Linked DNA regions of Callithrix jacchus. The protein of the gene in region 1 purifies or fractionates together with the protein of each later gene. This does not show direct contact. Links are inferred from orthologs where the notes say so. Each region holds a gene or a part of one and is shown in the gene's direction. Other genes may lie near its edges.

What was found.
Region 2: the proteins of EXOC8 (region 1) and EXOC7 purify together in Homo sapiens (affinity purification with mass spectrometry; 4 studies listed by BioGRID and IntAct, counting the BioPlex papers as one, with this or other methods). This does not show direct contact. The link is inferred for Callithrix jacchus from reciprocal best matches to the Homo sapiens genes EXOC8 and EXOC7.
Region 3: the proteins of EXOC8 (region 1) and EXOC6B purify together in Homo sapiens (affinity purification with mass spectrometry; 3 studies listed by BioGRID and IntAct, counting the BioPlex papers as one, with this or other methods). This does not show direct contact. The link is inferred for Callithrix jacchus from reciprocal best matches to the Homo sapiens genes EXOC8 and EXOC6B.

The regions. Positions count from the first base shown.
Region 1 is NC_133520.1:53,553,585-53,557,588, forward strand, and holds the start of EXOC8 (exocyst complex component 8), read left to right. Parts: upstream 1-1,179; 5' UTR 1,180-1,302; coding exon 1,303-3,480; 3' UTR 3,481-4,004. Other genes in the region: DNA-dependent metalloprotease SPRTN, read right to left, coding at 446-666. UniProt on the Homo sapiens protein: Component of the exocyst complex involved in the docking of exocytic vesicles with fusion sites on the plasma membrane.
Region 2 is NC_133506.1:131,987,901-131,991,466, reverse strand, and holds part of EXOC7 (exocyst complex component 7), read left to right. Parts: intron 1-2,475; coding exon 2,476-2,539; intron 2,540-2,763; coding exon 2,764-2,805; intron 2,806-2,912; coding exon 2,913-3,046; intron 3,047-3,290; coding exon 3,291-3,393; 3' UTR 3,394-3,566. UniProt on the Homo sapiens protein: Component of the exocyst complex involved in the docking of exocytic vesicles with fusion sites on the plasma membrane.
Region 3 is NC_133515.1:40,663,090-40,666,655, reverse strand, and holds part of EXOC6B (exocyst complex component 6B), read left to right. Parts: intron 1-1,305; coding exon 1,306-1,389; intron 1,390-1,725; coding exon 1,726-1,772; intron 1,773-3,158; coding exon 3,159-3,279; intron 3,280-3,566. UniProt on the Homo sapiens protein: Component of the exocyst complex involved in the docking of exocytic vesicles with fusion sites on the plasma membrane.

The DNA.
Region 1 (4,004 bases):
ATCACTGAAGATCCCCACTGCAGCACACGAGTTCACTAAAGTGGGTTCCTAACGAGAATAGAAGAGGACAGCACACATCCTCTGGAGGTTACTCTGCATCCTCAGCACTTTCTTAGGGGCAGATTTGGTTGCTTCTCTTTTCTGGCTCCTAGAGCACAATCATAAGGCAAATCAGAAACTTGTCATTTTCAAGTTTAGTGAGATTCAAATAACAATCTCATTTCTCATTATGTCCGAGTCCAACCGTGGCGGTATGGTCTACATAGCTTTCTTATTGTTCGAGTGGGAGAAACACGCTAAGACAGGAACTGCCAGGTCCAAAACCAGACCCCCTCATATAACCCCCCTCTGGGACGGTCGGACAGAGAAAGGAGAGAACCCCAGGGCCGAGGGCTGCAGAGGAGCTGCTAATCCCGCCTCTTTCCCCAGAGGGCTGGGAACTCACAGGGTCATTCGCACGCTCCACTTCACCTCGACCGCCTCCAGTTGGCCCCAGAAGAACTGGTCGTTAAACTGAACAAACAGGGCCTGCAAGTCCGGCGTGGGGTCCACCAATTCCCACGACGCGTCCACCAGCGACAGGGGCTCCTGGGCCTGATTGCGCTCCATGACCTGCAAGTTCCACTCCTCCTGAAGCCGCAGTGCCAACATCAGGTCATCATCCATCGCTGCCAAGATCCCAGGCGGGGTCCGCCGGCGTCAGGCTGACTCCCGAATCAGGCCGCGACCCCACGCCGCCTCGCAGAGGACCAGGACTAAGCTCCTAGGAGACACCGGCTCTCCGGACGGCCAATCTCGCGAGAGTCCGCGGAAACCCTCTTGAGAACGAGAACGTGAACCAAAACGGAGCTTACCCCAAACGCCGAAGCCAAGATTCTAGGTCTTTAAAAAGAGCAGTCAGCGTGACACCTCCTAGTAGGCGCAGACTCTGGGCTCCCAAGGCTCGGGCCCTAGGAAGCTTTCAGGAAGCTAGTTCCAGCCTTACTTTGCCAGTTATTTCAAGCCTCAACGTCACGCTCGGGTCATGCGCAGTACCCAAGTTTCGCTCGGCCTCTCCCCTCACTTCCGCAATAGCTCTTCTTGCGCATGCGCTTTAACCGACGGCAGTCCTACGCAGCCGCAGTCTGCGCTCGGCACCTTGCGCAGGCGCAGTGTCTGACGCTCAAACCCGGCGCAGGCGTACTCGTCTCGTTCCCATCCTGCTTCCTCAGCCCTAGAGCTCCGCTGGTCTTGGGTGGGTCTGGACAGCTGCCGCGGCTGCGGCGCCGATAGTGACAGTAAGTGCCTGAGACCCGGACGGAAATGGCGATGACGATGTCAGACAGTGGGGCGAGCCGCCTGCGTCGGCAGCTGGAGTCGGGTGGTTTTGAGGCGCGGCTGTACGTGAAGCAGCTCTCGCAGCAGTCGGATGGGGACCGGGATCTCCAGGAGCACCGGCAGCGCATCCAGGCGCTGGCGGAGGAGACCGCGCAGAATTTGAAGCGCAACGTCTACCAGAACTACCGGCAGTTCATAGAGACCGCCCGCGAGATCTCCTACCTGGAGAGCGAGATGTACCAGCTCAGCCACCTGCTGACCGAGCAGAAGAGCAGCCTGGAGAGCATCCCGCTTACATTGCTGCCTGCAGCCGCGGCCGCCGGAACCGCCGCCGCCTCTGGGGGGGAGGAGGGAGTCGGTGGGGCGGGGGCCCGAGACCACCTCCGAGGCCAGGCTGGCTTTTTCCCCTCCCCCGGGGGTGCCTCCCGCGACGGCTCCGGTCCAGGCGAGGAAGGAAAGCAGCGCACTCTCACCACCCTGCTTGAGAAGGTGGAAGGCTGCAGGCACCTGCTGGAGACGCCGGGACAGTACCTGGTGTACAACGGGGACCTAGTGGAATACGATGCGGACCACATGGCCCAACTGCAGCGAGTGCACGGCTTTCTCATGAACGATTGTTTGTTGGTGGCTACCTGGCTGCCGCAGCGGCGGGGGATGTATCGCTACAACGCGCTCTATTCCCTAGATGGTTTGGCCGTAGTCAATGTCAAGGACAACCCACCCATGAAGGACATGTTCAAGCTGCTTATGTTCCCTGAGAGCCGTATTTTCCAGGCCGAAAATGCTAAAATCAAACGAGAGTGGCTGGAAGTACTGGAGGAGACCAAGAGAGCCCTAAGTGAGAAAAGGCGAAGGGAGCAGGAGGAGGCAGCAGCCCCTCGAGGGCCACCCCAAGTGACTTCCAAGGCCACTAACCCATTTGAGGATGATGAAGAAGAAGAACCAGCTGTTCCTGAGGTAGAGGAAGAGAAGGTGGACCTCTCCATGGAATGGATCCAGGAGTTACCTGAAGACCTGGATGTCTGTATTGCCCAGAGGGACTTTGAAGGGGCCGTCGACCTCCTGGATAAATTGAACCATTACCTGGAAGATAAGCCTAGCCCACCTCCTGTAAAAGAACTAAGGGCCAAAGTGGATGAGAGAGTTCGACAGCTCACTGAGGTGCTAGTTTTCGAACTCTCCCCAGATCGTTCGCTGAGAGGTGGTCCCAAGGCTACCCGCAGAGCAGTTTCTCAACTGATCCGGCTGGGCCAGTGCACGAAGGCCTGTGAGCTATTTTTGAGAAACAGGGCAGTCGCTGTTCATACTGCAATTCGTCAGCTTCGCATTGAAGGTGCCACTTTACTCTATATTCAAAAGCTGTGCCATGTCTTCTTTACTAGCCTTCTTGAGACTGCAAAAGAATTTGAGATTGATTTTGCAGGAACTGACAGTGGCTGCTATTCTGCGTTTGTGGTCTGGGCAAGATCAGCCATGGGCATGTTTGTGGATGCTTTTAGCAAGCAGGTGTTTGATAGTAAGGAGAGCCTCTCTACAGCAGCTGAGTGTGTAAAAGTGGCTAAGGAGCATTGCCAGCAACTGGGTGATATCGGACTAGACCTCACCTTCATCATCCACGCCCTTCTGGTGAAAGACATCCAAGGGGCCTTGCACAGTTACAAAGAAATCATCATTGAAGCCACTAAACATCGCAACTCTGAAGAGATGTGGAGGAAGATGAACTTGATGACGCCAGAAGCCCTGGGTAAGCTCAAAGAAGAGATGAAAAGTTGCGGGGTAAGTAACTTTGAGCAGTACACGGGGGATGACTGCTGGGTGAACTTAAGTTACACAGTGGTTGCTTTCACCAAACAGACCATGGGCTTTTTGGAAGAGGCCCTGAAGCTGTATTTCCCAGAGCTGCACATGGTACTTTTGGAGAGCCTGGTGGAAATCATTCTGGTTGCTGTTCAGCATGTGGATTATAGTCTTCGATGTGAGCAGGATCCGGAGAAGAAAGCTTTTATCAGGCAGAATGCATCCTTTTTATATGAAACAGTCCTCCCTGTCGTGGAGAAAAGGTTTGAAGAAGGTGTGGGGAAACCTGCTAAGCAACTCCAAGATCTGAGGAATGCATCTAGACTTATTCGTGTGAATCCTGAAAGTACAACATCAGTGGTCTAATGCTTGGGTCTGTTTATATGTACATATATATAGAGAGAAAGCTTATATATTATTTATATTTATATTAAGTTGTATTCGCATACTCTTTATAGTTTTAAACACAACTTGAAAATAAAAGGTGCCCTCTTAGAAATACAAAACCAAAAGAGGAAAAGAAATTAAACCCAAATAACAAAAATACTGGAATGATTGAAACATATAGTATGCTAGCTATCCTTTTGAATTATGCTAATTCCCTTTCAAATTATGGTCACACTATACACTATAGCATATAAGTTTTATCCTTTGATAAAACACTTTTTGTTTTTTTTTTTTTTTTTTTAGAGACAGGATCTCACTGCAAGGTCTCGACTCACTGCAGCCTTGACCTCCCAGGCCCAAGCAATCCTCCCACCTCAGCTTCCCATGTAGCTGGAAACAGGCAGGCACCACCATACCCAGCTAATTTTTGTGTTCTTTGTAAAGATGGGTTTCCCCATGTTGCCCAGGCTGGTCTTTTTTTTCTTCTTCTTTTTTTCCCCACA
Region 2 (3,566 bases), on another chromosome or scaffold:
TGGGGATCTCTGTGCTTCCCTGGTCCTCTTTCTTCCTGGCTCTGTGGGGATCTCTGTGCTTCCCTGGTCCTCTTTCTTCCTGGCTCTGTGGGGGTCTCTGCGCTTCCCTGGTCCTCTTTCTTCCTGGCTCTGTGGGGATCTCTGCGCTTCCCTGGTCCTCTTTCTTCCTGGCTCTGTGGGGATCTCTGCGCTTCCCTGGTCCTCTTTCTTCCTGGCTCTGTGGGGATCTCTGCGCTTCCCTGGTCCTCTTTCTTCCTGGCTCTGTGGGGATCTCTGCGCTTCTCTGGTCCTCTTTCTTCCTGGCTCTGTGGGGATCTCTGTGCTTCTCTGGTCCTCTTTCTTCCTGGCTCTGTGGGGGTCTCTGCGCTTTGCTGGTCCTCTTTCTTCCTGGCTCTGTGGGGGTCTCTGCGCTTCTCTGGTCCTCTTTCTTCCTGGCTCTGTGGGGGTCTCTGTGCTTCCCTGGTCCTCTTTCTTCCTGGCTCTGTGGGGATCTCTGTGCTTCTCTGGTCCACTTCCTGGCTCTGTGGGGATCTCTATGCTTCTCTGGTCCTCTTCCTGGCTCTGTGGGGATCTCTGCGCTTCTGTGGTCCTCTTTCTTCCTGGCTCTGTGGGGGTCTCTGCGCTTCTCTGGTCCTCTTTCTTCCTGGTTCTGTGGAGATCTCTGCACTTCTCTGGTCCTCTTTCTTCCTGGCTCTGTGGGGATCTCTGTGCTTCTCTGGTTCTCTTCCTGGCTCTGTGGGGATCTCTGCGCTTCTGTGGTCCTCTTTCTTCCTGGCTCTGTGGGGGTCTCTGCGCTTCTCTGGTCCTCTTTCTTCCTGGTTCTGTGGGGATCTCTGCACTTCTCTGGTCCTCTTTCTTCCTGGCTCTGTGGGGATCTCTGTGCTTCCGTGGTCCTCTTTCTTCCTGGCTCTGTGGGGGTCTCTGCGCTTCGCTGGTCCTCTTTCTTCCTGGCTCTGTGGGGATCTCTGTGCTTCTCTGGTCCTCTTTCTTCCTGGCTCTGTGGGGATCTCTGCGCTTCTCTGGTCCTCTTTCTTCCTGGCTCTGTGGGGATCTCTGTGCTTCTCTGGTCCTCTTTCTTCCTGGCTCTGTGGGGATCTCTGTGCTTCTCTGGTCCTCTTTCTTCCTGGCTCTGTGGGGATCTCTGTGCTTCTCTGGTCCTCCTTCTGGCTCTGTGGGGATCTCTGTGCTTCCCTGGTCCTCTTTCTTCCTGGCTCTGTGGGGATCTCTGTGCTTCTCTGGTCCTCTTTCTTCCTGGCTCTGTGGGGATCTCTGTGCTTCTCTGGTCCTCTTTCTTCCTGGCTCTGTGGGGATCTCTGTGCTTCCCTGGTCCTCTTTCTTCCTGGTTCTGTGGGGGTCTCTGCGCTTCCCTGGTCCTCTTTCTTCCTGGCTCTGTGGGGATCTCTGCGCTTCTCTGGTCCTCTTTCTTCCTGGCTCTGTGGGGATCTCTGCGCTTCTCTGGTCCTCTTTCTTCCTGGCTCTGTGGGGATCTCTATGCTTCTCTGGTCCTCTTCCTGGCTCTGTGGGGATCGCTGTGCTTCTCTGGTCCTCTTTCTTCCTGGCTCTGTGGGGGTCTCTGTGCTTCCCTGGTCCTCTTTCTTCCTGGCTCTGTGGGGGTCTCTGTGCTTCCCTGGTCCTCTTTCTTCCTGGCTCTGTGGGGGTCTCTGTGCTTCCCTGGTCCTCTTTCTTCCTGGCTCTGTGGGGGTCTCTGTGCTTCCCTGGTCCTCTTTCTTCCTGGCTCTGTGGGGGTCTCTGTGCTTCTCTGGTCCTCTTTCTTCCTGGCTCTGTTTCTTCCCTTTGAGTGTGTCTCCCTCTTCCCTCTTGTTTATCTCCCCTCCACTCACTCCTTTCTTTCCCATCTGTTTCTCCGTCTTAATTTGCCATGATACTGATGTGAAATATAGTTGACAGTATTTGTTCAGTTTATTGAACACTCAAATGTTTCCTTATGTTTTCTCAATGAGTGACCAGTTTAAACATTTTCTCTTTTGTTTGTTTTTTTTGTTTTTGTTTTTTGTTTTTTTGAGACAGAGTTTCACTCTTGTCACCCCGGCTGGAGTCCAATGGCGCAGCCTTGGCTCACTGCAACCTCTGCCTCCCGGGTTCAAGTGATTCTCCTGCCTCAGCCTCCCAGGTAACTGGGATTACAGGCATGCAACACCATACCCAGCTAATTTAGCATTTTTAGTAGAGATGGGGTTTCTCCATGTTGGCCAGTCTGGTCTCGAACCTCTGACCTCAGGTGATCTGCCTGCCTCAGCATCCCAAATTGCTGGGATTATAGGTGAGAGCCACTGCGTCTGGGCTGTTTAAACATTTTCTATTCCCAGGAAGAGAATCTGTTGTTTTGCTTAGTTGTGACCCACATCCCTTCCTACCACCAACCACTAAGTAGATCCAGAGATTTGGCAAATGACACAAACCAGGCCACCGAGGCAGGCCGTCCTCTGCCCTCATGCTTCTCTTTCTGTCCGGCAGTTGGTTAAAGGTGACCGATTACATCGCAGAGAAGAATCTACCTGTGTTCCAGCCGGGAGTCAAGGTGGGCTCAAGGCCTGGGCTGGGAATGGGTGTTTAGCAGACTGGATACTTTGTTGTATCTCTGGGAAAAGAGGACAAGCGTCCCTCTGGGATCAGAGAGCAAAGGATGTGTATGGCCATCAGGGCACAGGAGAGAAGCCCAGGCCAAGGGCGTTTGGAACAGAGTGCGGGCAGGCTGCCCTGCTCTGAACTGAGCTTTCTCTACTATCTCTCCTGGCTTCCCAGCTCCGGGACAAGGAGCGTCAGATTATCAAGGAGCGTTTTAAGGTGAGTTGAGGTCCTCTCCTTTCCACTGCTTGCTGCTGTTTTTGAGACAACACAGACCCAAAGTTTTGTCTCTGGGTCCCTTCCTTTTTCACCTTTTTGGTGGCCAGGGCTTCAATGATGGCCTTGAAGAACTATGCAAAATCCAGAAGGCCTGGGCTATTCCGGACATGGAGCAGAGGGACAGGATTCGCCAGGCCCAGAAGACCATTGTTAAGGAGACCTATGGGGCCTTTCTGCAGAAGTGAGCCCCTTCCCAGCCTGTGCTGCCCACGGCCACAGTGGGCTCTTTGAGCTCCTCTTCCTCAAGGGCAAAAGGAAAAGGGTGACAGGTTTAGGCCGCAGATCCAGCACCCTGGGCTTTGGGGCGGGGCTGGACAGGGAATCACTCTGGGTCACACCTTCCGAGACTCTCAGGAGTGCCTTAGGCTGAGGGTGGTGCTGGGGAGGGTCGGCTTCCCTGTCCCCTGACGGCAGTGCCCCCTCAGGTTCGGCAGTGTGCCCTTCACCAAGAACCCGGAGAAGTACATCAAGTACGGTGTGGAGCAGGTGGGCGACATGATCGATCGCCTTTTCGACACCTCTGCCTGAGCCTGCTGCTAGCCCTGCCTGTTTCCACCAGACTGACATGTCATTGGACAGATAAACCAGTGTTAAGTTGCCTCTGGCCCCTTTGGGACAGAGTCCTATCTCCAACACCCCATCCAGGAGCCATGTCCCTGAGCCATCTAGTCCTGGGTTCCACTCTTTCCCCACACCCTATG
Region 3 (3,566 bases), on another chromosome or scaffold:
GGCACACCTATTAGTGAAAGTTAAATAGTGGAACTTAAATTAGTAGAAGGAAGTTATACAGCTATTTATAGCAGTTGTATAGCTAGTAAGAGACAGAATCACGATTCATATGTAATAACCTCTGGTTCCAAAATCAATGCTCTTTACCACTGTGGTATACTGTCTTTCCATTTTTACTCTTGTTTATTTAGAAAAGCTTTGGATTAAGAATAGAATTCAGTAATAAATGGGGCATGATAATCTAAATACATTGAGTTTGTATTAGTTTCCTAGAGCTGCTGTAACAAAGCACCATAAATTGAGTGGCTTAAAACAACAGAAATGTATTCTGTCCCAGTTTTGGAGGCTATAATTCCAAAATCAAGGCATCAGAAGGGCCATGTTCTCCCTGAGACTAGGTAGAATCTTCAGCTCCTGCTAGTGATCAGCAATCTCTGATGTTCCCTGGCTTGCAGCTGTATCACTCTCTGCCTCTGTCATCACATGATGTTCTCCCTGTGTATCTCTGTCTTTTCATTTTGGCTTTTCAGGACACCAGACATACTGCATTAAGGTCCCTTACACTAATAGGATCACATCTTAATTTAACTAATTACATCTACAGTGGCCCTATTTCCAAACATGACTATACTCTGAAGTTCCATGAAGGATATGAATTTTGGGAGACCACTTTTCAACCCAGTACACAGCTCATGAGTCAGATGTGATTCTGTAGAGAACTTCTCATTTTAAGCCCAGATACCATAAATGAAAAGTAGGAACTGTGTACCAAGAATCTTCATGCTTTTGTTTTTTTTGGGTTTAATCCTGTGCTAGATTATCCCCTAAGGTGGATACTAATATGCTGTTCTCAGTTCCTGCTTTTCTTCTGCTTCCCATTGCCTCTTTGTTCATGATTCGTTTGAAAGCTGGTTTTTATTCTGGACATTTTCCTTCTGGAATGTTTTGTGAGTTTTTTAAGGAATGTTTTCTTACCTGTTATCATCCTATGGAAAGGTTGGTTTCCCTTCATTCTTATGAGTTTGAGATAGTTGATTCAGATACCAGCTTTGGTGTACTGGTGGTTAAGTTCTTGCAGTTTCCTTGTAAGGATATTTTATACCCACCCTTACAGGTTTGTAAGTAAGGTTCAATAAATGGCAATAGTTATTTTTATTTTCTATCATTATCATCACTGTTAAAATAGAGATTTTGAGAAATGTGGTACTACCAAATTCCAGACCTGGGACCTTCTCTTTTCCCTTGAAATATAAAAGTAATTGGTTCAATTGTGTCAAAACCATTTCCGTTTTCTTTATTTTACAGGGTGCCCGGGAAACATTTGAGAATTACTACCGAAAACAGAGGCGAAAACAGGCTCGTTTGGTACTTCAACCTCCGTCTAACATGGTAGGATTACTATCTTCACTTTTCTCACATTTTTACTTTTCCTTGGTATCTTTTGATGCTTGTGTGTTTGTGTGTATACTGTCATTCTCAGATAACTTTTGGTGGATGCGACTTGTAGTATGAAAACATTATCGATTGATTGCTATGTGTCACTCAGTGTTCTAAGTACTGGATATATGCTGTCCCATTTCCGCTTCATTGGCAGATAACATTAGTATTTTTACCTTATCAGATATCATCTAGGGAACTGAGCCTTAAGAGATTAAGTGACTGATTTTAACTTTTTTTTAAAGTAACAGAACAGAAACAATAACTTTCTTCTTTGCTTTGTTGCAGCATGAAACGTTAGACGGCTACAGGAAGTATTTTAATCAAATTGTAGGGTAGGTATATATATATATATATTTATTTACTTAAATTTATACACTTTCAATACATAGAAAGTTGTGAGAGTTGGAAAAATAAATCAGGTTTTCCTTGGGAAATTCTTTTTTTCTTTTTTTAAAATTTGTTTTCTTTTTTTAAATTCTTAAGGTTTGTTTTTGATTTTCTAATGATTTAAAAGGAACATTCTGCTGGTTTCAATATTATATTGTTGTAGGGCACTTTGTGGATAAAGTGAGAAAAACATTGAATTGTAATCTTATTATACTTTATGTTTTGTTTCTTTCTTTTTGGTAGATGGAACCAAATAATCATCAAAAGTTGGCAAACTTTTTCCAAAAGGGCCAGATAGTAAAATATTTTAGGCTTAGTAGGCTGTATGGTCTCTGTCACAACTGTTTAGCTCTGTTGTTGTAGTGTAAAAGTAGCTATAGACAATACATAAATGATGAGCATGGCTATGTTCCAATAAAACAATCTTTATAAAAACAGGCAGTGGGCTAGGTTTATCCCACGGGCTAATACAGTTTGCCACCCTCATCTAGAGTGTATATAGTGGTATGGAATTGCATTTCCCAAATAAACACCCCAATATAGGCAGCTTGGTCAAATTCCAAAATAATGACTTTGCAGTAAACAGAAAAGGAAATAACTTGGATTCATCATCAGGTTTGTTTTATTTCAGATTTGTTTCAATATAATTAGTAGTTATTAAAATTTATCATAAAAATTTTCTAATAAAGAAGTTTTTTTCATTAATATGGACATTTAGGCAAGACAATGAAAGGTACATTTTAAATGCATAATAATAAGAAGCAACAACAAGATCGTTGAAAAATAACTTTGCATTTTTGAAACCTTTATATGATGCCTTTTCAACACTTTGATGAGAGAGTTTGCATGAGGGAATTATTTTGATATTTTGTGCATTGGATTCTTAAAAAATATATATATAAATAATACATAACATATATGATGTATATAACATATATTAGCTTTTATGGAAATATATTGATGGCTTGGTGTTTTCTTATATAACAAAATTTGCCTCTGTTACCTCTACACATTTTCCTCTTTTAAACTACTGGATATCATTGTTAACATTTAATAGAAATGTAATACAAATGTAACTCTTAATATCTCTAGGAGTAGTTAAGAAGATATCATAATCACAGACATAATTTTTAGTCCAAGTAGTCTGATTTCATTTATGATATTCAGATAACCAAATAACTTTCTTCATTTAGTTAGTAGTTAGTAGTCATTTCAAGAAAACAATGACTACTAACTTTGCATTTGTTATCTCTTAATGCTTTTAAAACCCCAGAGATAGTAATATAACTGTAAATTCTGACAGCTGTGCTTTCTTTTTTCCTCAATCTTAGCTTTTTTGTGGTTGAAGATCACATTTTACATACAACGCAGGGCTTAGTTAATAGAGCCTACATTGATGAACTGTGGGAAATGGCACTTTCAAAAACCATCGCAGCACTCCGTACCCACTCGGTATGTAAGAAGCCCAAGAGAAGTTGTTATTTAGAGCTGATTATCTATCTGCTATTCAGTGTTTTACTGCTTTAACATCCGCATATGTGTGTCTTTGCAGTCACTCACTTGAAGCTATATATGTCCTTCAAAGATATAGAAGTAGCTCCTTCAAATTGTCACATTTTCTTCCACTGAGCTACTTTTATAGATGCCCTTTGCAATAAGAAAACAGCAGCTAATGTCTGTTGATTATTCTATGAGTCAGACATTATTTTGTATACTTTATACATACTCTCTTATTTCAT